4 linked regions of the Diceros bicornis minor genome follow. The protein of the gene in region 4 purifies or fractionates together with the protein of the main gene of each other region. This does not show direct contact. Links are inferred from orthologs where the notes say so. Each region holds a gene or a part of one and is shown on either strand. Other genes may lie near its edges. The genes, in order: SF3A3, SF3A1, SF3B2 and SMNDC1.

Region 1 (7,913 bases), on a different chromosome or scaffold from region 4:
ATTCCTTTGGTCAGCCGTGCAAGATGCTTAATCAGTTCTAGATAATTGAGACATAATCCCTGCTCCTTATAATCTTACAATATAGTGGTGCAGACATTCATCGTCATAAAATACGAGAGGACCATAAAGAAAAGAAAGCTTAATTGGGAGGGGTAGACTAGTAAAGATATTTCATGGAAGCGTTGGCCTCTGGGCTGAGTCTTGAAGGTGTAATGATCCCTGGAAGTGAGTTAAGCCCTTTGTGTTAATTGGGTCCTCTAGGTAGCAAATTTCGAGACAGAGTTACATTCACAGGCAGTTTATTGGAGGGTAATACTCATGAAAGATAAAAAGGAGAGAGGAAAATTGGGCAGGGAGAGCCTAGGTCATGACGCAGACAGGACAAAATCTTGACCAATCCAACGGGGAGCTCTGGAATAGACTACTCACTAGAAGAGTCTTGCACTGGGCAGAACCAGCCAGGCCATAGTACCCCCACTGTGCTCAAGTCACTGGCTGGGGGTGGCCCAGGAAGAGAATGGCCTTGGCTTAAAGCGGAGGGGGATCATGAACGCACTGGAGCTGCAGGATGTCAGCTAATGATGCTCCCTGCAGCTAAATGGCAAGTTCATTTCTGATGGGACATCTGAGCAGCACGTCTCCATTTTCCTTTACTATGCTATTCAGGCAGGTTTGGAGAAAACACTTTCTGAGGCCATACCTCATTTGGGTGCTTCCGGTGGAATTCCTTTATTTGCTTGAGTCTATTATAGAATTCAGCAAATTCATTGGGTCCTGAAATGGCACTGAGCTCCTCCTTTCGTAACCTGCAATTGCAGGAAAAATCCAAAGAACATAGAGCACAAAGTCAGTCCTTTAACCATGGCTCCTCAAAAGCACTAACTCCTGCATTGGCTGTGACTGTCACTTACCCATCCTTATCATCATACAAATCCCTCAGGTTCCCACTGACTTCCATATACCTCTGAAAGGCAAACAGAAACCCATCAGAATGAAGCAATCTGTACAACCACAGAGCTAAGCCACCAACAAGGACTCTCTAGTCAGAGCCCAGGGAAACCTGGGGAAATGTGGTATTAAAAGTTCCCGTGCAGAGGGCTGGCCCCATGGCGTGGTGGTGAAGTGCGTGCGCTCCACTGCTGGCAGCCCGGGTTTGGATACGGGGCGTGCACTGACGCACTGCTTGTCAGGCTATGCTGTGGTGGCATCCCATATAAAGTAGAGGAAGATGTTAGCCCAGGGCCAGTCTTCCTCAGCAAAAAAGACAGGAGGATTGGCATGGATGTTAGCTCAGGGCTGATCTTCCTCACACAAAAAAAATAAATAAATAAAAGCAAACTCTTGGGGAAAAAACCAGAATAAATATTCAAAAAAAAAAAAAAAGAGTTCCTGTGCTTTCTAGTACCTTTAACAGACAGCACTGGTTCCTGATTAGTTTTTAAAACAGGCCAATTTGAAGATTACCTAAGTGATGTGATTTGAGGGGTGGCATCGAGTTCCTATATTTACATGTTACTGATGATTAACTTTCTCTAGAAGAGTCATCAAAGAGAGCCATATAAGACAGTCACCCTTTGCTAAACAGCAATTCCCACCTAAGACCCTCAAAGATAAAAGGGTGGTCGAAGATGATTTTCACTACTTCAAAAAGTTTGACTGAAGAATGTACAGGCTAAATAAACTTCCTTTGGATTCAAACTCAGGATGGTACAGGTACATAGCCCCTTCTCCAAAGCTTTTGGGACCAGATTTGTTTCAGAATTTGGAATTTTTAAATTCAGAAAGGTATTATATATTATGTAATATCCCTAGTGGAATCTGGAACACATATTAATAGTTCTGCAGTGAAACTCACCTAATATTTACTAAGTGAGATAAAGACCACAAAAGCCTCTCATCTGTTCAGGTCAGGTTTTGCTGCCAAATGAGATCAAGTGAGATTCTGCCACCAAGTAATTACTCCCTCACAACCCCCTTTGTTTTCAGAGTATTTTGGATTTGGGAATTTAGATAAGGAACTAGGGGCTCGTAAGACTGACTATCTCCTGCAAATCAGAAACTCTGATGAGGTCTTTTATTTCTTTCTAAAGACATCTCAAACATATACAAGAGCAGACAACATAGTATATAAACCTCCATTTACCTATCACTTAACTTTAATAAGTACCAACATTCTGATTTATCAGTTTTCTAAAAGTAAGAAATTAAACTATTACCAGGTAAAAGCAGTTTGGTAGGCACAAATACTTCAAATCAGTGTTCTGGGAGGAAAACACTAACGGACAGCATTCTCTTCCGGGCAAAAGAGGTAGTACTTTCTGGGCCCCAGTCACTGACTTCTAATAACTATTCCCTAGACATCCATGGGACACAGGATACTGTAAGAAGGGGCGTCCCTCCGAGTAACGGAGAAGAGTACGAGTCGCCCGTTCAGAGACGCGAGGAAGGGCAGTTAGGCACCCTCGGGACTGGGCGCCGCGTGGACATCTCCAGGCCGACAACCCGCGACTGGCCAGTCCGGTTACGTCTGGCCAGGGCTCCCGCTGAGCGGCCGCACCCGCCTCCCCGCCTTTCCCGCGCATCCCGCCCAGCCCGACGCGGTCGGCGGGGGTACTCACGTCCTGCATGGCCCGGGTGCGGTGGTCCGAATTGATCTGGTCCCGGAGCTGCAGAGGCAAACGGGGACACGGCGCCGTTGCTCGGAGGGCTGGGTCCCGGGAGGAGGGGACCAAGGCGGGGGCTCGGGGAGGGGCCGGGGAGGGGCGCGGGGAGGGTCAGAGGGTCAACCCGGGATGGGCCCGGCCTCAGAGGGAGCCCCCGCCCAGGCCCCACTCACCGTGGACTTCTTCGTGAGCATCTCTTTCGCCATGACGTCCATGAGCCGTTCCTTCTCTTCGTGATATCGCCGTTGCTGCTCAAGAATCGTCTCCATCTTCCCTGGGCCCCCGGACCTCTATTCAGACCACCTACACGGCCGGAAGCAACTCCTGCCGCCTCGCGCGCCCGCGTCCCCACGCTGTGCGTCCGGCCGCACTGAAGTTCCGCGGGTACCGGAAGTGCCTCGGGGACTCGAGGAAAAGTGAGCACCGAAAGGAGAGCCAGTCTGGGCTATCGAGATGGCAGCAGTGCCCCCTGCTGGCCGGAGGTGTGGTGGCGCGACGCCGAGCGGTTTGCAGGTGCCTCTAGGGGGCATACAGAAATCCCGGAACCTGAGGCGAAGTGCCGGCTTCCCGGGGCTTCCTGGCCAAGCAGGCAGGGCCACTGTGGACTGAAGAGTAGTGGAAAAGCATGGATGGGAGTTGGGGGACCGGAACTTGAGACCCTTACTGTGTGTGAACTCTGACAGCGTTTTTCCCTTCTCCGGATCTCAGTGTCGTTGTCAGTAAAATGGGGATGATAGGGTTTTTTTTTTTTTTTTTTTTTTTTTGTGAGGAGATCAGCCCTGAGCTAACATCCGCCAATCCTCCTCTTTTTTTTGCTGAGGAAGACGGCCCTGGGCTAACATCTGTGCCTATCTTCCTCCACTTTATATGGGACGCCGCCACAGCATGGCTTACCAAGCAGTGCGTCGGTGCGCGCCCGGGATCCGAACCAGCGAACCCCGGGCCGCCGCAGCGGAGCGCGCGCACTTAACCGCTTGCGCCACCGGGCCGGCCCCTGTTTTTTTTTTTTTAAAGTAATTCACATGCAGAAACAACCTAGTTGTCTAACAGCAGGGGACTGATTAAATAAAATATGGTACATCAAAGTAGTGAAATGCTATACAGCCGTAAAAAAAAAAAGAATGAAGCAAGTCTATATGTCCACTTCTAGATGGCAAAATGAAAACGTGTGTCCGTATGTTCAGATGTTCATAGCGCCGTTATTCATCATCAACAAAAACAGAACGCAACCCCCAAATCCATTCACTGGTGGATGGATAAGCAAAATGTGGTCTATCCATACAATGGAATATTATTCAGCAATAAAGGAATGCTACAATGTGGATGAACCATGAAAACGTCATGCTAAGTGGAAGAAGCCATACACAAAAGACCATATTCTGTAGGTCCAGATGAAATGTGCAGAAAGGCAAATCAATAGAGACAGAAAGTAGATGAGTGGTGGCCTGTGGCTGGAGGTGAGAACGGAAGTGACTGCAAATGCGCACAAGAAATCTTTTTGTGGGTGACAGAAATGTTCTAAAATTGGATTGTGACAATAGTTGCACAACTGTATTAAATTTGCTAAAATTAATTGAATTGTACACTGTGAATGGGTGAATTTTATGGTATGTAACTTATACCTCAATAAAGCTGTTAAAAAAATCTGTATGAACTCATAGGGAAAGATGGCCACACAAAGTGAAAAAAGCTAGACGCACAACAGTGTGTATAAAAATAGATGCACAAACAGATTATTTCTGTAAGGATAGCCAACTAACAGTAAACAGGGGTTGTTTATGAGGAGATAGCCTGGAAGATCTGGTACAGGAGGGAAATTTTTCTTTGTATATACCCAAAGGAGAGCATGAAAAGTTTTTTTCTTAACATGTACATGTATTACTTTTTCAATTGCAAAATAAACTTAAAACTAAAAATGAAAATACATATATGCACATGAACCTTAACAAAAAAGAACTAGGAGGCTATAATATATCAAGGAGTTGTTAGTGATTTATCTTTTGTTCCCTTTACTTTTTAGAATTCTCCAATTTTTCTACAATAAGCATACATTGTTTTTTAATTTTAAAAATAACATAGGGATAATGACTCTTGTCTTGCTTGCTCATGGGGTGTTGTAAGGGTATTTTATGTCTAAAAATTTGAACAACCTTAGGGAGAGGACTCCAGGCATAACTCCTCACCACAGGCTTTTCCTGCACCACGAGGAAAAAAAAGTAAGAGATCTCCATTCAGGATCAGAGAGATGAAGAGATGAACCTTTTTTTTTTTTTGGTAAGGTTTGGGATCTACTGTATTTCATCGAATACCAGATGCCAAATGTTAACCCCACCATGTTCCACTAAGAAAGAAAAAAAAAAATTGTCAAATTGTGTCGGTTATATAATGATTATACAATTATATGATGATACAATGCTTCTAGGTTTCTGAGATGTGAAATCTAAAAAACGTTTATCTTGAAATCAATGCCAAGGTTTTGTACCTGCAAATTTCTTCCTCTTAGGTAGATGGACCACCTAAGCAACACCACTTACTTGATGCCTTCCTTCCCCACTCCATCAAACCAGTCACGAAGTCCTGTCTTTTCCGCTCCTGCTGCCACCTGCCTCATCATCTCTCACTTTGACCACTGCACTAGCCTCGGAACCAGCCTGCTCATCTTACCCTCCAATCCATTATTCATGCTGCAGCCAGAGTGATCATCTCACCCCTGCTTAAACATTTCCACTGGCTGCTTCACCCGCAGAGTGAGGTCTGTTTAACTTGGCATTCGGCTCTTCCTGACCTGGGCTCTGCCTGCCATTTAGCCTCTTGGCACTTCCTCCAAGTGAAATTACTTGCTGCTTCCCCAAAGCACCATATGGTTTTTCAGGCCCCCAGGCCTTTGCGCCAGCTGTTTTCTATGCTTGGACTCCTCCTCCTCAACAAGTATTTATTGAACATGTAGTAAGTGCCGGGACCTGAGGATGGAGGGGTGAGCAAGGCAGGCGCGAGCCCAATCCTCCAAGTGGCTGATGGGAGAAAGAGACAAAAATGTGGAATGTCTAATTATTAATCATAAACACACACGGTGGGTATTCGTAAAGGTTTGTTGGAAATGTCAACCAGGGCCTCAGAAAGTTTAGAATTGGAATTAGGGAAAGCAGTGTGAAGCGGATTAGAATCCCAGAGCTACCAGTGACTACCTATGTGACGTTGGGGAACTGACGAGTCTCCACCTCCGTGAAATGGAAAAATGCCCGCCCCGTTGGATTTCTGGGAGTATTGAAAATGAGATACAGACAATCACGCGGTTGCCCCGGGCCCGAGGGCCCCTCCTGCCCAGGGCGCGAGGGTCCGCCCACCCCGAGGCGCGGGCCCCCACCCCCGGAGGCTGCGGGCGGGACGGTGAGCGCAGGAGCCCGCGCGTACCGAGTGTGCGCACGAGCGGACTCCGGCGGTTCCGCCGCGGAGCCCAGACCGCAGGCCCCGGAGGGGGCAGGGGCAGGGGGCATGGGACGCTGGGTGAGGGGAGCAGCGCTCCGCCCCATCTCCCCACTTTGGGGGGCAGCCCCCCTCGCTCATTCCCGCCTCCGCCCTTGAATCACGGGGGGGCGGGGCCATGACCCATTCATGCCGGGAATCGGATCCAGATGTTCCCGCGGCGCGTGCAGCTGCATCCTTGCCTTTTTTGGCAAAAAACGTGCGGCCTCGAGCGGATCCCGGGCCGCCTCCGCTAATCCTCGGGAAGAGGGGGAAGGGGGCCGAGGGTCTGGGTCCAGGCTGGGCATCCGCACCCGGTGCTCTGCGGGATTTGGGAAGGGCTGTTAGGGGAGGGGGGCGATTTGTACCAGACCTGGGAACCCACCGCCACCCCCGCTCCGGTCCAGAGCCTCTCTCAAACCCCTCCCTTCCCCATATGGAGGAAAACGCCCTCCGCCAGCAGGGGGAAGGTAGGCTTAGCGTGAGAGGGACAGTGACAGCAGTGGAGATCCCCTTTCTCGGGCGAGATTTCCCACGATCCTCAGAGTCCCTCCGTCTGCGAAGAAACCTTCCTTCCCCCTCCATCCGCAAACACACACATACAGGCCTTCACTTCCTCACACTGCTTTATTGCAGAATCTGGAAGGGGGTGAGCCGATCCCACCCCTCTGCCCATCTCCGGGCAAGATGAAACTGAAATGAAATCAGAAAACACTCATAGGACACGGGCTGGGCAAAACCCTGTACCCTAGGGCCCCCTAACCAGTGAACCCATTCTGCTGCCCAGACAGCCCCAGCCCTGGGGACAGAGGTGGGATGGGGTGGGGAGGGTCAAGCCTGAGGATAGTCCACCTTGCAGGACTGCTCAGGCACCCATAGGAGACCTACAGTCTTGGGAGAGAAGTCTAGATTGAAGGGGGCCTGGGTCCCAGAGTCCAGGTTTGGAGGGCTGGGGGTCTAGAGCCCTGATTTGGGGAGGGGGTTTGGTCTGGGAACCCAGACTGTAGAGGAGAGGGCTGAGTCCTGGAGTCCAGGCTTGGGGAGGGGATTTGAATCACAGAGGCTCCAGAGGAGCCCAGGTTTGGGGGCCCTGGGTCAGGGAGTACCAGTTTGGGGGATGTTGGAGTAGGGAGGCTGAATCCTGGAGCCCAGGGGGAGCCCCAATTTGGGGAGGGGCTGGATCCCAGAGATGGTTTGGAAAAGGAGCCTTAGTCCTGGAGCCCTGGTTTGGGAGGGCCTGGGGCCCAGACTCAGGGCCCCGCCTGGCTGCAGCCCTGGCATAGCACTTGGTCTCCGTCGGGCACGAAGCCCTGGCCCACCAGAGAGGTGGAGCAGCGGGCGCAGGAGAAGCAGCTGTGGTGCCAGTGGCGGTCTTCAAAGGACACATACTTGCCTCCGCCGAGTCCTGGAGGGAGGCTGGAGGTTAGCTCTGCAGATCTAGAGGGCAGTCCTGCCCCTCAGCCTCACCCAATACCAGATGCCACTTCCTTGCTTGCCCCCACCCACTCAGTCCTTGGACCCTTGTCCCACCTGTGATGGGGCGCTTGCAGCTGCTGCACTTGGGTGCAAAGAGTTCTCCAAAACAGGCCACGCAGTAGGGATCATCATCCCGGGAGGTGAACTGCTGCCCTGCCAGGGGTGTCTGGCACCCAGTGCAGACCAGGCATTCTCGATGCCAGGGCTGGTCACGGTATGTCACACCACCCTGTGTCAGCGTCTGTGGGGGCAGCATCTGTCAGTAGTGGGGAGTGGGGATTCCCGCCCCACAACAGAGCCTTGCTCGCCTCC
Region 2 (7,769 bases), on a different chromosome or scaffold from region 4:
TTCTGCCTTGAATGTCCTTTCCTTCTGCATCCCTTCCATAGTCTGAACCACACTCAACGCTCAAATGTTTTGTGAAATTCCACTGGAATACTCAACGTTAATTGTCCCATAAGTATCAATATTCTTTCCTCACTAGCTTCTTCTCCTTAGCAAACGAAGGGTCAAATCTCTCATCTTAAGAGAAATAAAGTTTCGGGCTGGCCCTATGGCTTAGCGGTTAAGTGCACATGCTCCGCTACTGGCGGCCCGGGGTTCAGATCCCCGGCGCGCACCAATGCACCGCTTGTCCGGCCATACTGAGGCCGCGTTCCACATATAGCAACTAGAAGGATGTGCAACGGTGACATACAACTATCTACTGGGGCTTTGGGGAGAAAAAGGGAAAAAAAAGGAGGAAGACTGGCAATAGATGTTAGCTCAGGGCCAGTCTTCCTCAGCAAAAAGAGGAGGATTGGCATGGATGTTAGCTCAAGGCCGATCTTCGTCACAAAAAAAAAGAAAGAAAAATCAAGTTTCTCCCCTGCCCTCACGTTCTTTTCTGCTGCTGCCTTCTCCCTCCCCCCTTTCCCCCCCAGCCCCGGAGCTAAACACCCTGAGTTCTCCCAGTCTTGCCATTCCCACTTCCTCACTTCCCATTTGGTCCTCATCCATTTCAAGTGCTCTTGCCAAAGTCAAAAACTGACTACAGTGGTGATCTGGCTCTGTGACCAGTGACCACTCCTTCACAAAGTTCTCCACTCCTCAACTCCCACACCCTATTCTCACCTGTCTTTCCTTCTTGCTCACCATACGTTCCAAGTTTCCTGCCTGGCTCCTTTCCTTCACTTCCTGCCCTATAACATCGAGCACCCCCAGAATTCTGTTCTTGGTTCTCTTCATAGTATTCACACTGTCCTCAGTGATGCACTCACAACCACATCCTCCATTTCCCGTACCACCTCTAATCCCATCCAAATTGACATCCCAGAGCTTTATCCAGCCAGACCCAGTTGACTCCTGAGCACTGTTATCTCTAACCTCTTTCCTGATGAATGGCCAACCATGTACCTGGTCACCCAGGCCAGAAACTTGGGCCTCCTCTCCCTTCCTCAGCCTCTACATTCAATGATAATAACATTTGTCAAGCACAGAATAGGTACCATATGCTTTCCTAAGCACTTTATTATTATTTTTTAAAGATTTTATTTATTTATTTTCCCCCAAAGCCTCAGTGGATAGTTGTATGTCATAGCTGCACATCCTTCTAGTTGATGTATGTGGGACGCAGCCTCAGCATGGCCAGAGAAGCGGTGCGCCAGTGCGCGCCCGGGATCCGAACCCGGGCCGCCAGCAGCGGAGCGCGCGCACTTAACCGCTAAGCCATGGGGCCGGCCCCCTAAGCAATTTAAATATATTAACTCTTATAACCCTCGTGAGAACCCCAGAAGGTAAGTCAGTCCTCTTATTATCCTCATTTTACAGATGACAAAACTGAGGAATGGAGAGCTTAACTGCCCTCAATGACAGAACCAAATTTCCAACATCACTTTGGCTGGAGAGCCTGTACTATGAGCCATTTTGTGAAACGAACTTGCTCAGACCCTCTGCCTCATCACCCATCCTCAGCATTTTTTTTTTAATAAAGTGACTAATCCTCAGTCCTCCTAGCAATTCTCCACATCACTGCCTACCTAGCTGAATTTCTGAAACACAATGTCACTATCCAGCTTAATATCCTTCATTTTCTCCCCGTTGTCTACTAGGCAAAGTTCAAATTCTGAGAATCCCATCTCCTGCCACCAGTTATCCAATGCTGTGCTTCAACCACACCTGTTTATTTACCCATGACCAGAGGGGCCATCTGATTCCTATCTTGGTATCTTTGCATTATTATTTGGTATTACCTTGTTTATTTTTCCCCAGTGACTGGGAAAACGCCAGGACACATGGGCACTTACATGTTTGTGGAAAGGGGACGGACCTCTTCTGTCATGTTCCCCACTGTATTCTGAACTCTAAGCAGTGGTTAGTATACAATATGTGCTCAATAAATGTTTGATGAATGATTAAAGAATGCTATTTCCCTTCCCCAACCACCTACCTGGTGAACTCTTATGCATCCTCCTAAAATCAATTTACCTCACTCCTGTGAGCTTCACCCACCTTAATCTCCACTCTATCTCATCAAAGCCACGTTGATTAGATTACTGTCTTACTCGAACCTGATACTTCTATTATAGAGACAATCACACCATAACGCAATTATTTATGCACATCTTTCCTCCTCACCTGTTTGAGATCTTTTTAAGGACTGGCTGGAACTGTATCATTTACACTGGCGGGGCAATAAACATTTGTTGAGTATTCACGTATAGCTTCCCACTAGTCGGTGAGCTCTCTAAGGCAGAAATTGTACCTCATTCACTCCGGTAACGTCGGAGCCTGGCACCGAGTCTGGCTTAGAGTAAGCACCGAACAGATGCTGCAAATTAACGTTAAAAGATGTACCCTGCAGGCTGGGAAATTATAGAGATTACTGGGCAAAGGCTGGGGGCCGGCAACCCAAATGCAACAGAAGACCGGTGGATGGGCCGGATCGGTGCTTCTCAAACTCGAATGAATCACCCTGGAATCTTGTTAAAATGCAGATTCCTATTTAGAAGGTCTGGGGTGTAGACTTTGTAATTCTACTAAGCTCCCAGGTGATGCTGATGCTGCTGGTCCGCGGACCACACTTTGAGAACCACTGTTGTAGTGAGCTCGTTGCGCTACCGGAAAGCAGCGTAGGAAGCGCGCTGCCTCCTGGGACTTGCAGTCCCTCTAAGCCCTCCTCAGCCTTCCTGCAAAAGTGAGGAGCGCCCGCGCCAGAGGGAGGGCCCAGGCCTAGGCTCGGGCTGCCGGTAGAGGTGCGGGGGACGCGGTACCTGTTTGGGCTCGGTGGCCACCGGCGGCGGCGGGGGCACCGCCTGCACGGGTCCGGCCGGCATGACTGCGACGCTCAGGGCTGCCAGTCCGCCTCGGTGTAGGTGAGCGGTGCTCCGTCAAAAGAGTTTCCCCTCACCAACAGTACGACAAGCTCGCAAGATGGCGGCGACCGAACGAGTCGTAGCCGAGGAGGCGAGGCTGACGCACTTCCGGTCCCGCCCCTATTCCGTGGCGTCACTTCCGCCCCTTCCGCGCATGAGGCGGCCCGCGCGAGACGCCGTTGCCATGGCAGCGGTCGGGGCGCCCGGCTCTGGTTTGTGGGAGATCCCAGGCGCGGCGGGCGCGCCGAGAGCAGTTCCATGAGCCCACCAGACACAGGGGCTGAGGCTGTGACGCCGGAGACTGGTGAGATGTTCCACATGGCAGACGCCCCCCGCACGCGCCCCCTCTCCTTTACTCCTCGGGTGGGTTCCTAGCTCCCTCCGACCCCGCCTTCTAAGGCCCCCGCTCCCTCCCATTGGCCTCTCTTTGGAGAGCCCCCTCGGGCCCGCCTCCTCAAAGCCCCACCTCCCTACTTCTTAAACCCTCTCTTCTGGTTCATGCCCACCTCCCCCAGGTTCCTTTCCGGAGTCAGAATCCCTAATTTCCACTGGTCCCTTTTCCTGTGGGCGCGCCTTTTCTGGGTTCCACCTCCTGCCGTCCATAGTCCCGCCCTCAAGCCTCATGGACCATCTCAAATCAGGGCTGCTTCTTGAGGCTCCACCCCTCACTCCCACAGGTGCTTCTGCAGACCACTTCCTCCGCTTCCCCTGGCCCACCTCGAATCCCACCTTTTTCACTTCCCCTCCTGATATCCTCTTCTCTCTGTCCCTTCTCCCCTCCCTCCCAACTCCGGAATGCGGGCCTTGCCTGGACTTCAATTTCCTCACCTGTGAAATGGGGGGATGATAGGAAAAAAATGGCCTCCTGTGACTCCTACCTGTTTCTCTCTCTCTTAGACACACACACACACCATAGCTGGTTTATGTCATTGTTGTTATTATTAATGTAGAATAATAATGATAGCTAGGATTTATTGAACGTTTACCGTGAGCCAGACCCTGTCCAAAGACTACGTGCATTACGTCATTTATTTCTTACAGCAACTTATTTACGGTTGAGGATAGTGAAGTTTGGAGTTGGTGGAGTGGGAATCCAAACCCAGGCCATTCTTACTCCTCTACTTGTGCAGTTACTTATTCCTTTGTCTTCAGTCAGTCCCTTCACTGTCCCCAGGGATCCAGGCAATTAGCAATCCTGAATCAGAGACTGACAACTACCATATTGATGGTTTTAGAGTTTCCAAAGTGTTTTCATGGTGGTCACCTGGAATCTCAGCACACTGGCCGGGAGGTGGGCATAATCTTTACCAGAGAGGTAGGTCTTAGGGCTCAGAAAGGGAAGGGGCTTGAATGTTGAACAGGAGTGGAGGAAAGATTCCTTACCTTCTCTGTGAATCAAAAGTCCACCTTGAGCTTGAGGGAACTGAGGAGAGGCAGAGTTAGCTGCTGTTCCTACCTCAGGCAGTGTTGGCTCAGTTAGGGCCATTGCCTGTGTGAGCTCGGGACCAGTGCAGGGCTGGCAGCTTCAGGCTGAGGGTTCCACTCAAGACCCAGGAATTACAGAGAAAGCTGTGTCAAATGCTCCTTCACTTGACACACACCTAAGTGGTTCTCAAACCATGCTTATATCTGCAAATCCCCAAAGTTCATAAGAAATGACATAAGGTAACCTTGGATATTTTTCAATGCTGTGTTTTCCTCTTGTATATTCTTGATTCTTTGGCATTTGCTGCTGCCTCTCAGAACTGGAATCTAACAGGAGTTGGCATCTCAGATGGCCCTAGATGGCCATAGTTATTTGAGGAACAGGTCAATGTTTCTTGGTGTCTTTGCAAGCAAGCGCTTGAGGTCCGGGTGCCACTTGAATACACCTTCTCCCAGGGTGGAGTTTCTTGCTTTCTTTATTTATTTCCTTCCTCCCATTCCAGGAAGGAAACTGGAATGTTTCAGTCTGTTGTTTTTTTTTTGTTTGCTTCTGCCTCATTCCTTGGGGACATAAAATCTCACAGGTGGCAATATCTCATGAGAGGCAGTCACCAAGGCACCATATGTGTGCGGGATGTGGGCCTGGGTGTGTTTGTGTGTGTATTTGAGTGTTGTGGGACGGCTACTCATCGCCCTGTGGGTGGAACTGACAGAGCTGACACACTCAAGACTTGTCCACTCCAGAGACCCTCAGACATAGATGGTGGTTCCTGGCAGATAGGGCTCTGTGTGCCTTGCTCTGTCCCTATTCTTTTTTTTTTTTTTATGAGGAAGATTAGCCCTGAGCTAACATCTGTTGCCAATCCTCCTCTTTTTTCCGAGGAAGATTGGCCCTGGGCTAACATCCATGCCCATCTTCCTCTACTTTTTTATATGTGGGACGCCTGCCACAACATGGCTTGATAAGCGGTGCGTATGTCTGTGCCTGGGATTCAAACCCACGAACCCCAGGCCACTGAAGCAGAATGCACAAACGTAACTGCTACGCCAGCGGGCTGGCCCCTCTGGCCCTATTCTTGCCATGGTGCCCAGCACGTAGTAGGTACTCAGTCACTGTTTGCTGAATGAACACATGAGATCTGAGCCTCTACACCTGCACTGTCTAGTCTGGTAACCACCAGCCTATGTGGTGGTGCATTTGAAAATGGTGGCTGGTCCAAATTGAGATGTGTTGTGTCAAATAGACACTGGATTTGAGACTTAATGCAAAAAAAGACTGTAAGAAAATCTCCTTGGGGGCCGTGGCTTAGCGGTTAAGTGCGCGCGCTCCGCTGTTGGCGGCCCGGGTTTGGATCCTGGGCGTGCACTGGCGCACCGCTTGTCTGGCCATGCTGAGGCTGCGTCCCACATACAGCAACTAGAAGGATGTGCAACTATGACATACAACTATCTACTGGGGCTTTGGGGAAAAAAAGGAGGAGGATTGGCAATAGATGTTAGCTCAGAGCCGGTCTTCCTCAGCAAAAAATGAGGAGGATTAGCATGGATGTTAGCTCAGGGCTGATCTTCCTCACAAAAAAAAAAAAAAGAAAAGAAAATCTTCTTGGGGCTGACCCGGTGGCACAGAGGTTAAGTGTGTGCGCTCCGCTTCGCTGGCCCCGGGAATGGCGGGTTTGGATCCCGGGCATGCACTGACGCACTGCTTGTCAAGCCATGCTGTGGCGGCGTCCTACATCAAGTAGAGGAAGATGGGCACAGATGTTAGCCCAGGGCCGATCTTCCTCAGCAAAAAAGAGGAGGATTGGCATTGGATGTTAGCTCAGGGCTCATCTTCCTCACCCAAAAAGAAAGAAAATCTCCTTAATAATTTTGTATTGATTTCATATTGAAGTGATAATATTTTGAGTATAGTAGGTTAAATAAAATACATTGTTAAAGTTAGTTTACTGGTTTCTTTTTAGTTTTTTTAATGTGACTAGTAGAAAATTTAAAATCCCATATGTGGCTTGCGTTATATTTCTTTTGGCCAGGGCTGCTCTAGAAGCAGCATAGTTTGAATACAGAGCATAAATGTTGGACTCAAGAATCCCAGCTCCCTCAGTGACCTTGGGCCAGCCCCTTAACTTTCTAGAGCCTGAGTTTTCTCATCTGTATAAAGGAAGTGGATTCAGGAAGTGGCACACAGTAGGTCCTGCAGTCAGAGCTAGCACTGTTGAAGTGTGCCCTCTGTGCTCAGGCTCAATGCAGGCCATCCCACCTGCCCTTTCCCACCCCATTCCTCCAGCCTGGATCACCCTCTCTTTCTTCCCGGACAGACTCCTGCCTGCCCCCCAGGGAGCCCTCTCTGAGTGTCCAGTCACTGACTGTTGCTTTCATTGGTTCCCAGGGACTGAAGAGCTGCTCGGGGCCAGCCCTCACACAGGATACAGGAAGCCAGGCACCTGGGTGATCCTCTGACCCTGAGCCCCAGAGCCCAAAGCCTAGTCCAAGAGCTCGACACACTCAGACATCCAGCTCCAGGAGCAGGCACCTGGGCAGAGGTAAGGCCAGGGCCCAGTCCTCTGGGAGGCCGGAGAGGCCTGCTCAGCTCTCAGGAACCACCCCTGGGTGCCTCTGAGCTTCCCAGCACCTGTGGGCACAGGCTGGCCCTCAGGTCCCTTGGCCCAGGCGTCCAGGTCATACTGCAGTGAACTCAAAAGACAGTCCATGTGCTCGCAGGGAGATGAATTGCCAACCGCAAATAATTTCTCAGTGATTCAGTGCCAGTGTGGTGTGTGCTGGGAGGGAAAAGAACAGGATGCTCTGAGAATGTGTACCAGGGGACCTCACCTGGCTGGGTACCTGAGGGAGGTATCTTATCAAGAGGAAGTATGGGGACGGGGCACATTCTGGGTGGTGAGAAGCTGAGATGGAAACAGACCACGCAGGGCCGGAGCTGGGGAAGTGTTCCAGTCTTTATGCTGGAGAAAGCTGATCACTCTGGCTGCCGTATACAGAACGGGTGGGCGAGGTTTTGCTGGGCAGAGGGAAGAGGGTGACCCCTCAGGGAGGCTGTGGCAGTGGCCTGGGGAGATAGTGGAGTGTGGAGTAGTGTCAATGGACAGAAGCGGTGGATTCTCAGTGTGGTCCGGATGTAGGATTGGCATCACTCACTGCTTGCACGTGGGGGTAAAGGAAGGGGATTCGAGGAAGTGCCCAGATGCACTCAGTAGGGGTGCTATTTTCTGAGATGAGGGAGGCTTGGGGGTAGAAATAGGCTGGAGGAAGAGAGGTTTCCCAGGCAAGCCTGGATTGGTGGGGGTCAGAGTGGCCGTGGCCTAAATACTGCCCAAGCAGCCC
Region 3 (8,044 bases), on a different chromosome or scaffold from region 4:
TGTCCTGGTGATGCCTTTTCCTTCTCCCCAGGCCCCATCATCTGGTTTCCTCCACCAGCCTGCAGACAGACTTAATCTGCCTGGAGCCGAGGAGGGTGAAGGGTCCAGCCATAGAGGGCAACCAAGGGCATGGCAGAAAAAGCCCAAGATGCCGCCCCTGCCGCATGCACACCTTCTTCCCTTTGTTACTCATCCTGCCTAGAGGACTTAGTGACCAGACTGAGAGTTTCCCAAGGCTGGGGGGCCAGCCTATTCCCACTTTTGCTAAACTCACTGAAACCACCCTATTTCTCAGAGGACTCTGGGTCAGCCAAGGAGGTCAAGCCTGGAGGGAGCTACAGTGGGCCTTTCCCTGGGAGACACTTCAACCAGGCCACACAGAGAAGGTGATGGGGTACTTGGTGGCCTCCTCTATCCCACTCCCCTCCATGGCTTAGCCCTGGGGACCCAGCCAGCCAGACCCCAGTCTGACGCCCACTTAGAACAGGGCATCATCAGTGCAAGAATTCCCTGGACCCCAGCCCTCCCAGGTGGGCACCAGTTTCTGTTTGGCCACGGTCAATGATGCGACGTTCATCACCTTCAGATACAGCCTGGCCCATTTCTGAGCAGCCTTGGCTGTTCAGAAGTTCTTTCTGGGACACTAGGATTAGTCTACTGCTGGTAGTGCCTTTCTCAGCTTGTCTCCTTCCACCTTCCACTCTGTATGGTTGCTAGCGCTGCCTTCCTAGGCCACATGGACCATTTTTCTCCATGACAGACCTTCAGGTATTTGAAAGCAGTAAGCCTGTCTCCTCTGGGTGGGCACTTGGCCAGCCTCAACATTCCAGGTCCCGAGGAGGGTGCTGCTTGGACACTGGAGGAGGCCTCCCTTCCCTGGCAAGTTCACTCCACAATGTCTCTTCTCCCTATGCAGTCAAGGCACTGGCACCTGGGAAGGGGGCCACCTGGGGCTAGGTTTCTATGTGTAATTTCCAGGCTGGTGTAGGGTGGGTGGCGGTCCGGGGCAGGCTTCAGAGCAACGGCCCTGGCTCCTGCACCTCACATGCTTCAAACTACTCCCCAGCCTCCCCCGTGTCTTCTCCACGAAGAGAGTTTCCCACAGCCGTCCCAGACAGGTCAGGGTGCCCAGCCTCATCAGAATATCAGTGCTAATTTTAGTCAGAACAGCCTACCTCAGGCTACTGCCCAGTTTTGCAAATTGCTTTTCTTTCTCCAGGGAACCAAAGAAGAAAGGGGATAGCTAGCCAGAGCTTTGAAAACTGGCCTGGACGCCCACCCACTCCCAAATGAACCCTTTTCTCTCTCTCCTCCAAGCTCTAGGGCTAATACTGGTGCCTTTAGAAGAGGAGGGTGCCCTGGCCTGGAACACCTGGACCTGACCGTTGGATGACCTGGAGACTCCATCCTTACTTGAGGATGGCACAGCCCAGTGATTAGGGAAACTGCCTAGGGCACTAGAGAGGAAAGGGACAAGGGCTGAGGGGGCTTCGAATTAGTGGCCTAGGAGATCAAATATCTTTCCACCTCCCTCTTTTTCTTCCCTTTTTCCCCCCAGCCGGCTCCAGGTCCCAACCAGCCCCCTCTCTCTGCCATCCACCGGGCCCGTCATTCCTGCCTCCGAATTCCCTTCATCCTCCTCTCTCCATCACTATCCCCCAAGCCCCCATTCCCTCAATTTTATTGCAACCTCTCCCAGGGATCCGGTCACCGGGGTCTGGTCACCATAGGAGATAGGCCAGATTCTCCCTCTCACCCCTCCCTCTCCCACTCCCCAGGGGACAGAGCGCCCCCAATCTCATGCTCTCCAGGCACTAGGCCCGCACGACACTCTCCCGCCCACCCCTCATCCCCCATCCCGATCTGGTCCACCCCCGCCCCAGGCCGGCCACTGCAGTACTCACGGCGCGCGGGCTCTGCCGGGGTGGTCGCCGGTCGCCGCTACCTCCGAACCCTTGTCCCGAAATCCGCTGCGGATGCGAGGGCGCCGGGGGCCCTGCGTGCCGAGTGCCGGTCGCTTTCCTCTCCGCGCCTGGATGGGATCAGGTGGCGGCGTCCGCTCGGCTCCGCTCCTCTCAGCTCTGCCCGCCGCCCGCCCCCCATCGCACACCGGAGGCGGGGCGGGGGCGGGGGCCCGGCCGCGCAGGAGGGGGAGGGAGAGGGGAGCGGGAAGAGGAGGGGGCAGCCTTGACTCGCAGACTGCCAGTTAACACTCTCCAGTGGCGTCTTCGGATGCAGGCATCTTCCCCGGGCAATCTTGCAGAGTCTGGATACCAATGTGACCAGCTCCTTGCCCTCACTCTACAGAAGGGGAAACTGAGGCCCAGAAGGTATCTGGGTACTGTGGCATTGCTAGGCGTTCCTGGGCTCGGCTGGTCAACCTTGGGCTGGCTGGTGGGTCCCAGAGGAGTTAGAGACACAGGTACATTTCCCAGCACCCACATGCTCCCTCCCTCCTCTCTTTCTCCTCTTTCAACCTCCAGCAGAGAAGCACAGCTCTGGCCCCTGGTCTGGTCCCATCTGCCCTCACACCCCTGGGAACCCCTTCCCTTCCAGCCCCTGAGGCAGCCCCCTGCTACTGACCCCCTCCTACTCTCCACCAGGACTCCAGACCCACTCACTTCCCACTAGAGCTTTAGTGGCCCTGGGACCCCTGCCCAGGCACCTTGTACTGGGAATCAGAGAACCCAAGTTCAACCCCGGTTGAACTTAAGTCCCAGAGTCAAGAGGCACCTCCCTGGGAAGGCTTCCAGCTCTAGAATGGGGAGCTGTTCTGAGACTGCAGAGAGGATACATGTGAAGGCTCTCTGTGAACTCCCATGTGTGTGGGGTGGTCCTGAATTTTCTACTGCCTTCTTAGCCCTTAGTTCCTACCACCTGGGAGCTGGGCAGGAGCACTTCCCAAAGTCACGCCAGACACCAAGAGCCCCGCATTTAGTTCTGGGGTTCTCATGGACCCCAGCTTTCTCCTGCCCTCTAGGCCTGGTATGACAAGGATCCTGGAGCTGGGGCAGCCACCCAAAGCTGCGACTGGAAGGGACTGGATTCCACTCCACAGCCACACAGGTAGGTATTGTGTGAGGGTCCTTGTTAAGGAGGAGAAAGGAATGGGGACTCTCAGAGTCAGGAGAACTGCTTGTGGTCCCAGTTTGACACCCTGGGCACGTCAGCTTCTCTCCGCCCCTCAGTCTTCTCCTATGCACAATGGGGGGGTCCTACCCTGCCTGGGTCCCAGGGCTTATGATAAAATGAGGCCCCACTTGGCCCATCCCTCCCTTTCTGGCCCTACTTACATTACGTCCTCACCCATCAGCTCTTAGTTTATCCTGCCTTAGAGACCCCCTTCCTGTTCCCCAGCACATACACATGCCTGGGGGCCTCCAGCCTCAGAGGAGCTGCCAGCAGCTCTCTGGTTACAGGGAGCAGAAAAACACTTCTTTTGGGTCAGGAATGGTTCTGCCTGAGTGGGCTGACCAGCTAGGGGGAGGGCACCATTCTTCTTTTGTCTGTCCGTTCTGGCTTTAGCTTCTCCTCTGAGAGTGTCAGGAGATTGGGATGGTGGCAGTGATGAAACAGGGAAAGGTCATGGTTTGGGGAGGAGTGAAGAGAATTTCCTAGCCAGGGCCGGGATGTGAGCAACAGTCCTGGCCCAGTCGTTTCCTCTGTCTCTCTTAAACCTCACCTTCCCTGGACCTGGCACCACATTTTCCCCCCCTGTTCCCAGTTACTCCTCTGTTGGGGGCAGTCAGTGAAATGGAGCATGCTGGAGAGAAGGTCTGAAGGGTGCGGGTGTGTGGGGAAAAAGAGACCACTTCACTTGAGTTTCCTGGCTCTGTTACCCGACACACACATACACACTCACACAGGCAGTGAACCTGGCTGTCAGTGAGAGGGCAGAGCTAGAATGGGAGAGGGACCTCAGAGCTAGTGGCAGAGGTGGGGAGAGAAACCGAATTGACAGGTTAGGGCAGGGAGAGGTGGAAGCTGGGCAGGCAAGGGCACCTGCCCATCCCTCCCTCAGGCGCACAGGCCACTGGTGCCGAGGAAGGGTGGACCCCACCTAGAGGCTGATGGGAACGAGGAAAGAAAATGTCCTGAGTTTATTTTCGAGACTAAAAGAGACGCAAATCCTGTCGCCAGAAAGACTGTTCCATTTGCTTTTTTTTCAGTAATCTTTTATTGAGCGCCTCTTGAACGCCAGGTGCTGCGCGACAGTAAAAAGACAAGATCTCTGCTCACGTTCTTGGGGATGGAAGAGGGGAGGAGGGGCAAGACTTCAAAGCAAATGGTGGAGGTTTGAACGTGTTATGGGAACTCCAAGGAAGAGAAGGAAAGCCGGAGAAGGCTGAGACGACATTTGAGCCAGCCTGGAAGGTGGGAAAAGGGGCTTTAGTGTGGCCCTTCCCCCAGGTTGGCAGCTGGAGCCCAGCCCGGGCGGCCCGCTCCTCTCCCGGCTCCGATCCCCTTTCAGCCCATTCAATCCTTGCCTGCGCCGGGGGTGGACGGGCAGACAATCAGACACTGTTTTATCACAGGCATCGGCTGCAACCTCCCGCCTGGCGCCCGCAATGCGCGGCCGCCGAGGGAATGAGTAGTTCGGGACTCCCCGGGGACGTAAGCGTCCGGACCTCTCACGCCTGACCAGGGAGTCGGGCCGGAAGGCTAGCGGTCTGCGCTCCGGCCGGTCCGACGCAGAAAGCACGCCCTCGGGGTGGGACCAGCTTTCCCCGCAGCCCCGCCCCCGCTCCGGCCCCCAGTGTTCCCGGGCTTGTGGGCGCGCACGGTTCTCCGGGAGTTGGGCGGGCAGAGGCCGTGACCTGCGTACTACAACTCCCAGAAGGCTTCGCGACCAGGCCGCCTAGGGACGGCTGCAGAACGCAGTGGGTGAGCCTCCATCCAAACGGCCTTCCAACCCGCGAGCGGACGTGGCGCACGGCGCCGCCGGAAGTCTCGGGACGTGTGCCTGCGGCTGGCCCGAGCTTCCGGGTTGGTCGCGCGCCTTCCTGCGGCTAAGATGGCGACCGAGCATCCTGAGCCTCCGAAAGGAGACTTGCAGCTGCCGCCGCCGCCGCCTCCTGGGCACTATGGCGCCTGGGCTGCCCAGGAGCTTCAGGCAAAATTGGCAGAGATCGGAGCTCCGATCCAGGGTGAGAAACACGGAGGTCAAGAGCCGGCAGCGTAGGCCTGCGGGGAAGCGGAGCCTGGTTACCCCGGAGACCCGGAGGCGGGGGGCGGAGGCCGGACGCTGGGGCCTGACTTGGGCCGGCTGGCCTGCTCGGCCTGACCTACCCTATTGATCCTGTGCTTTGCCCAGCAGGGAGTCGCGAGGAGCTGGTGGAGCGGCTGCAGACCTACACCCGTCAGGTCAGTGTTGGCAGCGGGACGTCAGGATAGGCCGAGCTTCTGGAGGAGACCTTCATGACCTCTCACGAAGAGCAGTCTTCGTTCTTTATGTACCTCAGCACGCCAAGTGGGGGCTTACTCTTTTTGCCTGTGCTTGCCTTTACCTGCTCTGTTGTAATCGCTTCTGTGCCTGTTCCCAGGTCCCTGCTCACGTCGAGTGCAAGAACAATGTGTCATTTGACTTGGAATTCCAGCACCTGTCTCATAGTAGACCCCCGGCAAATGTCTGCAGTAGAAAAATACTTTCTAGTTTATGGTCATATTTTTTTTCACAGCTCTTTGGGATTCCCATGCTACTGCCACTCATGGGATTACCCCTCTGTTCTGTACCTCTACCTTCTTCCCCAGTGCCCAGTCGGACCTCTGGCAGACAGGCACTGGGTAAATTTTGTTGAATGAATGGGAGCGAACGTGGTTTATTGGAACAGCTCCTCTTGGACCAACCTAGAGTCCTTTCTCTTTTGCAGACTGGCATCGTGCTGAATCGGCCGGTTCTGAGAGGCGAAGATGGGGACAAAGCTGCCCCCCCTCCCATGTCAGCGCAGGTGAGGAGGTTGTTCCACTTTATAAGATCCCTTTTGCTCAGGGTAGCCTTTTTTTTTACATGCAGTGTACTGTGGATGCAACTAGCAGATTGGGTAGGGGGGTACTGCGGTGATAGAATTGGGAGCTCTTCAGTTCTCTGGTGGTCCTGATCTTTGCCTCCTCCTCCAATGTCTGCTCCTCAAAATTCTACTTGTCATTTAAGATTCTGTTTAGTATTTGGAAGCCTGACTTGATCCTCCACCAGCTGGAAGTAATCACCCTCTTCTTTGCCCTCCCAGGGCACAGTTCCCATGTTATTCACTGAGACCTTAGAGCTCACTTCCTGATTTGATTTGATACCCTCTACATTTATTGAGTCATCAGGGCACACTGGCTCCCATTTATTTAAGTCCTCTCAACTTCCATGTTCTTTCTGATCCAGGATTTGACTCCTTTTCTCTAGAGCAGTGGCTCTGACGTGGGGTCCACTGACTTCTGTGTGGGAGATGAGGAGTCCCTAGATAGTCTTTAGAGGTCTCCTTGAATCTCCTGAAATTGTATGCCAAGTCTGTGTTCGTGGTATTGTTCTGGGGAGAGAGTCCATAGCTTTCGTTGGTTGGTGCCCCAAAGTTAGCATCCTCTTCTCTCGATACTGCTATCGAGTATTCTTTTCTTGAGTGCAAGAACTATGTATCATTTGACTTTGAATCTCAGCAGCTGTCTCATAGTAGATCCCCAACAAATGTCTGCAGTAGAGGGGCTGGCCCAGTGGTGCAAGCGGTTAAGTGCACGTGCTCTGCTGCAGTGGCCCGGGGTTCGCCGGTTCAGATCCCGGGCGCACACCAACGCACCGCTTGTCAAGCCATGCTGTGGCGGCGTCCTATATAAAGTGGAGGAAGATGGGCATGGATGTTAGCTCAAGGCCAGTCTTCCTCAGCAAAAAAAGAGGAGGATTGGCAGATGTGAGCTCAGGGCCGATCTTCCTCACCAAAAAAAAAGAACGGTCTGCAATAGATAAATACTTCCTAGTTTATGGTCATATTTTTTTCCACAGCTCTCTGGGATTCCCATGCCACCACCACCCATGGGACTCCCCCCTCTGCAACCTCCTCCACCACCCCCACCACCTCCACCAGGCCTTGGCCTTGGCTTTCCTATGGCCGTTGGACCCCGCCCTCCAAACTTAGGGCCCCCGCCTCCTCTCCGGGTGGGTGAGCCTGTGGCACTGTCAGAGGAGGAGCGCCTGAAGCTGGCGCAGCAGCAGGCAGCATTGCTGATGCAGCAAGAGGAGCGTGCCAAGCAGGTAGGCCAGGTGGCAGCCTGGGCCTGGGTCTCATCAGGGTCCTGAATGGGGAGTAGAGCCTCAGAGCTGGATCTTGGAGCCAAGCCTTCTGGGAAGGTCTGGACCACAGACTAGAACTTGGGCCCTAGGCTGGAGAAGGACCCCAGGAAGCAGAGTTGTGGCAGACTGCCCTGTGGGGTATTGGTGCTGGTATGAGCTTGTTTTCTTTTTTTAAGCAGGGAGATCATTCACTGAAGGAACATGAGCTCTTGGAGCAGCAGAAGCGGGTAATGCCCTTATCCTAACCTTTGACCCCATGGTCTAGTCTCTTGGCTGTCACTTCTAGTGCTTAGTGTCCAAAACAAGATGCACCATTCAGGTTTTCCATGGAGGTTACGTCATCCTCAACTGAGTTCCAGTATCTCCCAAATAATTCTCTCTTCCCTGTAGCTCAAGAGTTAGTAAACTATGGACTGCGGCCTGTTTTTGTATGGCCTGCGAGCTAGGAATGGATTCTATATATTTAAAGGACTCTTGGGGGGAAAAAAAAAAAAACTAAGTCTATACAGTAGTCCATACAACGGTCTATGAAGCCTAAAATATTTACTGTCTGGCCTGTTACAGAAAAAGTTTGCAGACCTCTGCTAGTCTTACATGGTATCATTTTAGGTACCTTAGAGAGGACTCTGGGCTAATTTAGTCATTTGTATCAGATTTAGATTAAACACGATAGATATAAGTTACAGAATGATACATAAGACATGCAGCCCCAGAGGTGGGTCGCATCGGTTGTTACCTGGTTGAGTTACTCAGGATTATTAGAAAATAATCATA
Region 4 (8,053 bases):
CTGTGGGGTGATACTCTGACACTGTGTGAACATCCTCCTTTTCTCTACCTCCTTTTATAAGATGGGTTTTAGCTTCTATTGATGATCTTTGCCCTAATCACTGAGGACTGCACATGGTGATTTTTCCAATTCTATCATTCCATCTACATTTATTGGCTGGAATTCTTCTATAAAGAAAACAAGTCTCTTCCCCCACCCTTGATTTTGAGCATCACTCTGGAGTTATGGATTTTAAAAATGTATTCAATACTTTGATAATCTGTCACAGCCATTATTCTTCTTAGTGCCCAAATTGACTCACATTTGGCCAGTGGAGTTCCCTCATGCTGGGGTCTGTGAGCTTTTGACTTCATCCTATTAGTTTTGGGGCACTTCTTGCTTTCTAGCAAGATGTTCCAGGCCTGCCTTTGTACTCTTGTACTTTCTGGGCCTGAGACCCAAAATCAACCATTTCTCCAAGAAATGCTGTTTCCTTTCAGTGAGGAATGGTATTTAGATATCAAGATATGGGCACCCTTCACCAGGGTAACATTACTTCTAAGAAATATACATATGTAAACAATTCTAATTCAAATTCAACATCAGAGAGCTTCCCCCCATTACTTCTTTTATTTTATATTTTTCTTTCTTTCCTCTTGGAGTTTTAACTTACATAAATATATTAATTATTCACTTTATTTATAGTAGACATAAAAGAGTTTCAAAATTACATTACCAATATTACTATTAGCAATAAATCTATAATTGAGATTTTTTTGTTTTTGTTCTTTTTGTCCTCAGACTATATCCCACTAAGAATGTATGTAAGAGTACTATTAAACACCACTTTTGAATAGGTCTAAAGAACTTTGAATGACTCTACTATTTGACCCTTAGCAAGGCCTTAGATCATAATCTTTTTCATACTGAAGGAATCTATTTTCTGGGTTTCTTTTTTACAAAATTTTTTCTTGTGATGAGAACTTTTTTTTTTTTTTTGGTGAGGAAGATCAGCCCTGAGCTAACATCCGTGCTAATCCTCCTCTTTTTGCTGAGGAAGACTGGCTCTGAGCTACCATCTATTGCCAATCCTCCTCCTTTTTTTCCCCCAAAGCCCCAGTAGATAGTTGTATGTCACAGTTGCACATCCTTCTAGTTGCTATATGTGGGACGCGGCCTCAGCACGGCCGGGGAAGCGGCGCATCAGTGCACACCCGGGATCCGAACCCGGGCCGCGAGTAGCAGAGCACGCACTCTTAACCGCTAATCCACAGGGCCGGCCCCTGACGAGAACTTTTAAGGTCTACTCTCTTAGCAACTTTCAAATATACAATACAGTATTATTAACTACAGTCACCATTCTGTACATTACATCCCCATGACTTTTTTATTTTATAACTGAAGTTTGTACCTTTTCACCACCTTTACCCATTTTGCCCACCAACACCCCCCCTTGCCTCTGGCAACCATCAGTCTGTTCTATGAGCTCAATTTTTTTTTTTAGACTCCACATATAAGTGAGATCATACAATATTTGTCTTTCTCTGTCACTCATTTCACTTACATAATTCCCTCAAGGTCCACCCATGTTGTCACAAATGGCAAAATTTCTTTCTTCTTCATGGCTGAGTAATATTCAAGTGTGTGTGTATTTGTGTGTGTGTGTGTGTGTGTGTGTACATTTTATTTATTCATTTATCCATTGATGGACACTTAGGTTGCTTCTATGTCTTGGGTATTATAAATAATGCTGCAATGAACATGGAGATGCATATATCTTTTCAAATTAGCATTTTCATTTTCTTTGGATAAATATCCAGAAGTGGAATTGCTGGATTGTATGGTATTTCTATTTTTAATTTTTTGAGGAATCTCCATACTATTTTCCATAGTGGCTGCACCAATTTACATGCCCACCAACAGTGTACAAGGGTTCTCTTTCCTCCACATCCTCGCCAACACTTGTTATTTGTTGTTTTTTTGATAATAGCCACTCTAATGGGTGTCAAGTAATATCTCATTGTGGTTTTGATTTGCATTTCCCTGATGATTAGTGATGTTGAGCACCTCTTCATGTACCTGTTGGCCATTTATATATCTTCTTTGGAAAGATGTCTATTCAGATCCTCTGCCTCAATTTTAATTTTTTTAAATTTGTAATTGTTTTTCTGCTATTGAGTTGCATGAGTTCTTTATATATTTCTGATATTAACCCCTTATCAGATATATGATTTGCAAAACTTTCTCCCATTTGGTAGGTTGCCTTTTCATTTTATTGATGATTTCCTTTGCCGTGCAGAAGCTTTTCAGTTTGATGTAGTGTTTTCTGTTTGTAGTGGCACGTTTTCTGTTCTTTAGTGGTACAAATAAAACACAGAACAGCTGAAAATGCACATTCTAACACTAGGAAGGCAATGCAAACTTAAGTGAACAAGTCAGGATTGCTACGACTGATAGCACCTGCATTGATAAGCATCTGTTTAAGGTTGTTTTTCCATCAACCTTAAACGGATGATGCCACCTAAGAGTCATTCTAGGACATGGTTTCAATGCACTGTACCCCAAAACACTCAATAAGCACAAAAAGCCAGTAGCTTGCCCCTGCAACAAATCTCCATGCAAACGTTCAAAACACCTATTATGACTAAAGACAACAAAGGGCATAAGCAGTTATTATGACTGAGTACACATCTCTAATTCATTGCCTTAGGCATTTGTGGATAGAACAAAAAATGTGGGCCAATCGGGTGCTACCTTTAGCCCAGGGACACAATAAAAGCTAAGCTACAGAATGCAATCTCTCATTTAACCAACACGTCTCACTTTATTACATACTTCTGTGCTCTGCAGTGCGTTGGCACATTTCCAAAGGCAGCAGCTATACTTTCTCTAATTTTCTTTAGCAGTGAAAGGAAACAGTTGTATATTCTGATGACAACTTGCAGGCTTTAAATTTTGTTTACTTACTGAGTTTCAATAAAATAAACACCAAGTTTAAAGAACTAGAGATTTTAGATACTACTATTTTTGAAGAATAAACATGACTAAATTTGAATGAACGTTTTAAGAAAAATCAGACACTGAAAGTAGATCTTGACATTTCAAAGGAAGTGGTAAGTCAGAACCCCTATTTGAAGTATCACTGTTAGTCAAAGCTCATACTTGCTCCAGTTTTGTCTTTAATAGCACACAGAATCATCGTGAATATTAAATGAATACATATTAAGTGCTTAGAAGGGTGCCTGGTACATAAAACTGTTATCATCTCTTTCGAAGACCTAAAATTTAATATAGCTTTTCTTTCCAAATATAATCTATGTTGCACAGAGGGAGAAATTAAAAGCAATCTTGAAAATAAAAGCTTATCAAGGTGATAGAGAAATCTACATGGGAGCTTACAATAAAGTATTTTCCTATTTTCTGACGGGAGCTTACAATAAAGTATTTTCCTATTTTCTGATCTAAGGGCTTCATGAAGAGTTCTTACTTGAGAGATTTTTACACAGCTATAAAGTTTATATTCAAGGAAGATCCTCTTGGCATTAGTTCCTAAAATACAAAATTGGAATTAGAGCAGTTAAAAAGTACATTATATTTAAACAAATTTCTACTCTGTTAAGGAAAAATACATCCTTTCTGGTTTGTCGTCTCTTAATTCTAGCTGCACACTGCTGCCCTCTGCAGGATTTTAAATTCTTGCACGTTGCCTGCCACCCCAATCATACTCACAAACCTGACATTGTTTCCATCTTTATAGGTTATGACTCAATAGGAGGGATATGTGTTCGTATGTAGAGAAAAAAAGGGAAGGCCCTTCCAAAAAAAAAAAAAAAAAAAAGAGCAAGGAACAAAAGTAAGATGTCACAGTCCAAAAGAACCCATCTGAGAGGAGGGCCTTCTTACCGTTCCACAACAGACTCCAAGCCCCAGAAAAGCTTCTTTCTTGGCAATTACATAGCCTCTTTGTGCCTCATGCCTTTATTTATTTTTTTTACTAGTTTTGTTTTTTAATTGTAAAAGAAAATTATATACATATATTAGAAAAGAAAAAGAGTAAACAGTAAAAAGCGTAATCAGTGAAAACATTTGGCTTCCACTCCAGGTCTCGAATAGGTTTGCATATCCATCCAGAAAGAGTTCATATTATTACAAACATACGCAATGCGCATTTCTTTTAAAACATAAATGGCAGTATTAACACCAGTCTGCTTATCATCCAAGACTATAACTTGGAGATTGTTCCCTATCAGGCGAGATTAACCTATATAATTAACTTAGTTAAAACCAAATAAGTTGTAACAAAATAGGTTTTAAATAAATCAGTCTCTTCTCCAACACGCTTTGCCATAATTAGCTTTTTGTTGCTACTAAGGCGCTTACTATGATATAAAGCACTGGTCCTCAAACTTGAGCGGACATCGGTATCACCGGGAGACTTGCTAAAAGACTGCTCAGCCCATCCCCAGAGTTTCCGATTCTGGAGGTCTGGGTTGGGCGCTGAGAATTTGCATTTGTAATAAATTACCAGGCGATGCTGATGCCACTGGCACGGGACCACACTTTGAGAACAAACTGCTAGCATGAACACTGCAGTAAACCCACTTCCTAGCACCGCTCGCCTAAGAAAGCACACGCAACCTCTCCCCTGGGAATCCCAGGAAGAGCCCAACAGGTCCCACACCTAAAAGAAGAATCCAACGCCTCCCCGCTCCGAGCCGGAACTGAGGGAAAACAAACCTACATCCGGTGCCTGGCGCAGGCTAACTACGCCATTTCCTCCTTACTAAACCCCGCCCACTCTGCGTCTCCGATGCCAGTAAGGGCAGGCGACCCAGAAGGCGCTAGTAATCACGTGAGTGGAGCCACATCTCGCGAGGGTTTTTAACCTCTCGCGAGACTTCACCCGCCCCTGTCTTTTCCTCCTTCCAGTGCCCGGCTTTCCTCCCCTCCCCCTCACCGCCGGCCGAGTTTATCCTTTTCAGACCGAGTGGCCTTGTCGCCGCGGAGATTTTTGCTGTTGCTGCCGCTGTCTCCGCCGCGACCACCGGGCTCTTTTGCCCCGACCCCTTCCCGCCGCCCCGTCCCCAGCCCCACACAAGGTAACAAACCCGGGGAGGGAAAGAGGTAGGCCTCGCCGGGCCTCGGCCTCTCCGCATTGAAGCGGAGGCCTGAGGCGGAGGAGGCGGCCGCGCCGGAGAGGCCTGGGCGCCGGCGAGAGCTTTAGGGGCCCCGGCTTCCCCTCGCCCAGAGTGAGCCCTGAGGCCCCGGGCGGGTTGGGCTTGCGCGCCGTGGCGGCGAAGACGGCCCACCGGGGCCGCGTCGGGTGGGGCTGGGACGCCGAGGCCTGCCGAGGACGCGCTCGGCCGCGGGCTCCCGCCGCCGGCGGCCGCTCCGCTCGTGTTGTCGGTTTCCCTGGAAGCAGATGTTGGAATTGCGTGGTCTGAAGTAATCGACCGAGTGGTGGCGGGCTTCGAGGTGTGGGTGACCGGCGGGGAGCAGCCGGGCTGCTCTGACTCCTTCGGAGCCCTTCCAGATTCTGGGCTGTGGTTGGACGGGAGTTGTAGGACAGGAGGGTCCTCGGAAACCCTCTGGGTTTGCTTACAGATCGAGAAAGGATTCTCTCGGGTCTTATTTTCAGGAGAGGAATAAGCCGGATTGGTGAAAGGCACGTTCTTTAGAATGCCTAAATGGGAGAGTATTTGTGCTGTGTCTTGTACTGAAAAAAAAAAAACACATCGGCACCATTTAAGTGACTGGGTGAAAGATTTTAGCTCTGGAAAAGAGCTTTTTAAACACGCTTTTATTAATTGAATAGCTTAGGTAGAGTTATTTGTGTAGTTAATCCAAAAGCCATTTATATTTGGTTTTGGAAGTATTCTTTAGTGCTTAAAAATACTTTTTTCGGAAGTCTCGATTTTTCCAAAAGATTAGTGCTGTGTTTTGGGGTTTTTTTGTTTTTTGGTGACGATGTAACAACGCTGTTAACTGAGCCTAACGCAGTGCTTTCCCTGTTACAGGAATTTTAAAAAAAATGAGAAATTGTTCTTTTTTTTCTTACCTCTTGTTTTCTGTTTCTCTTTGTATATGGGATTTATCTGACATGTTTATAATCTTCAGAATCCATTGCCTTGAAGTTTGTGGTTTGGCTCACAGCTTTTCTCTGAACTAAAAACAAAGCTAATGGTGAGAAATTAAGCTGCAATGAATTATAATCAAGAGTTGGGAGCAAAATTGGTAAGGGTTAATTCAGGCAGACAGGGAAATTATTTTTTATGGTTGTTTTTTGGTTCAGTTTTCATGGTTTTATCCTTTTTATGTTCCCTAGATGTCAGAGGATCTAGCAAAGCAGCTGGCAAGCTACAAAGCTCAGCTTCAGCAAGTTGAAGCAGCGTTGTCTGGAAATGGAGAAAATGAAGATTTGCTAAAATTAAAGAAAGATTTACAAGTAAGTCTGAGGGGACACTTATAGTAACATTGCTTGAAAAGACTATTTCTGTGTTTTTCAAATGACTCATTGCTTAGAAGGTGTAGATACCCAAAGCACCCTTTGGAGTGGGTCTTTCTCCACCCTCCTCCTTCCTATGTACCTGTGTGTGTGTGCACAGGCATACGGCTTGTAGAAGTGGGGTTGTTTCCTCAGTTTGTATACATCTAAATGAGTGAAGCATTCTTTGTTACGTAAATCTTGTATGCTCATATAATTTTAAAAAATGATTTTAGAAGTCTCTCTGAAACTTTCTAGAGAAGAGGTACATATAACTTTATAGTGGAAAGTGCTTTTATTTTCCACTGAAAAAGGAAATATAGTTCAAAGAGTAACTAAAATTAAAAGAGAAAGATAGAACCTGATTAAGATTCCTTTTAATGCCACAAGATTCTCTGAAAATGAAATGAGTGTGTGTGTGTGTGTTTCAAAGCTAGCCTGTAACACTGTATTGAAAACATATTATAAAAATATGTAAAGAGATACTAGTTTTCTGCTTAATGTTACATAGTATTTGAACTTAAGACTAGATTTTATAGTGTAGTTGTTCACACTTGTTGAAGTTAAATTGAATCTAACTGGAAAGGAGATTTTAATTTGTTTTGTTTGTCATGGGAGAGTTCAGTAGATATGAAACCTGCTTTTAAAAACCTGCATTGGGCTTTCAAGACATATGTAAAGCCATAATAGTAACTATCTGTTGTTTCTCAGAACACTAGGTTGATTAATAAAAACACCATATATAATATTTGTAAACATAGGATTTTTTACCTTAACAAATTTGAGAACTTAAAATTCTAAACCTGATTTTTTTGAAAGTTTTAAAAGGTGTTTTGATCAGGTAGTCTTTCTTTACTGATTCAATACAAAACTTGAATCATCTTTATCCTAAGTAATCCTTTCCCTCCCTTTATCATCCTCTTGCTTATTAAAATTATTAATATTTTAGGGATATTAGAACTGCAAACAAATGAAACTTATTTGAAATGGGGTCCAGATTCAGGATTCTGAAAGAGCTCATCTGGGCATAATTAAGATGAGTTGAATATTTTCAGGTTCATATTCTGGATTTAGGAAGCTTGCATAAAGTTGCAATAGTATGTTATTTTTAAAAACACAGAAAACAAGATCCCTCTTAAATATGTAGAAGTCAGGCCAGTGGATTTCAGGGTGCCAATCGATAAGAAAAAGATGTTTTGGGAGTCATTTCTCCCATTCCCAGGCCAACTTTCTGCTTGCCTCAGAGAGAGATCCTGGCATGTCCTCACCTTCTTTTACCAACTTAAAAGCTGTTCTTTTTTTCTTTGAAGAGAATAAAACGTTTTGTGCCAGTGTTGGGTATATTGCTTCCTGGGCAGTGGGTGGAAGGGTATATGTACAACTTGTGGAGGAGGAGTTGGGAGTGAAGATTGAAACAGCATTATTATGAGGTCTTTTTAATATTTCTAGAATAAATTGTCAGAGTTTGGGCAGAACTGCCTTACTGTGACATGATCTCTAGTGGAAAATACTGTAGGGAGAGAAACCATTGTGGTAGGCATTGTAGTCAGCACATAAATGACTTACTTAGGGTGCATTAATGACCTGGGG

Evidence for each region.
Region 1: the proteins of SMNDC1 (region 4) and SF3A3 purify together in Homo sapiens (affinity purification with mass spectrometry; 3 studies listed by BioGRID and IntAct, with this or other methods). This does not show direct contact. The link is inferred for Diceros bicornis minor from reciprocal best matches to the Homo sapiens genes SMNDC1 and SF3A3.
Region 2: the proteins of SMNDC1 (region 4) and SF3A1 purify together in Homo sapiens (affinity purification with mass spectrometry; 3 studies listed by BioGRID and IntAct, with this or other methods). This does not show direct contact. The link is inferred for Diceros bicornis minor from reciprocal best matches to the Homo sapiens genes SMNDC1 and SF3A1.
Region 3: the proteins of SMNDC1 (region 4) and SF3B2 purify together in Homo sapiens (affinity purification with mass spectrometry; 3 studies listed by BioGRID and IntAct, with this or other methods). This does not show direct contact. The link is inferred for Diceros bicornis minor from reciprocal best matches to the Homo sapiens genes SMNDC1 and SF3B2.

Annotation. Positions count from the first base shown.
Region 1 is NC_080752.1:51,927,926-51,935,838, forward strand, and holds the start of SF3A3 (splicing factor 3A subunit 3), read right to left. Parts: upstream 3,008-7,913; 5' UTR 2,933-3,007; coding exon 2,837-2,932; intron 2,667-2,836; coding exon 2,619-2,666; intron 965-2,618; coding exon 912-964; intron 807-911; coding exon 701-806; intron 1-700. Other genes in the region: FHL3 (four and a half LIM domains protein 3), read right to left, coding at 7,376-7,530, 7,656-7,842. UniProt on the Homo sapiens protein: Component of the 17S U2 SnRNP complex of the spliceosome, a large ribonucleoprotein complex that removes introns from transcribed pre-mRNAs.
Region 2 is NC_080774.1:23,863,568-23,871,336, forward strand, and holds the start of SF3A1 (splicing factor 3A subunit 1), read right to left. Parts: upstream 3,051-7,769; 5' UTR 2,967-3,050; coding exon 2,904-2,966; intron 1-2,903. UniProt on the Homo sapiens protein: Component of the 17S U2 SnRNP complex of the spliceosome, a large ribonucleoprotein complex that removes introns from transcribed pre-mRNAs.
Region 3 is NC_080770.1:7,249,000-7,257,043, reverse strand, and holds the start of SF3B2 (splicing factor 3B subunit 2), read left to right. Parts: upstream 1-4,996; 5' UTR 4,997-5,014; coding exon 5,015-5,147; intron 5,148-5,314; coding exon 5,315-5,364; intron 5,365-5,870; coding exon 5,871-5,948; intron 5,949-6,982; coding exon 6,983-7,231; intron 7,232-7,446; coding exon 7,447-7,497; intron 7,498-8,044. UniProt on the Homo sapiens protein: Component of the 17S U2 SnRNP complex of the spliceosome, a large ribonucleoprotein complex that removes introns from transcribed pre-mRNAs.
Region 4 is NC_080745.1:74,123,380-74,131,432, reverse strand, and holds the start of SMNDC1 (survival of motor neuron-related-splicing factor 30), read left to right. Parts: upstream 1-5,033; 5' UTR 5,034-5,078; intron 5,079-6,304; coding exon 6,305-6,424; intron 6,425-8,053. UniProt on the Homo sapiens protein: Involved in spliceosome assembly.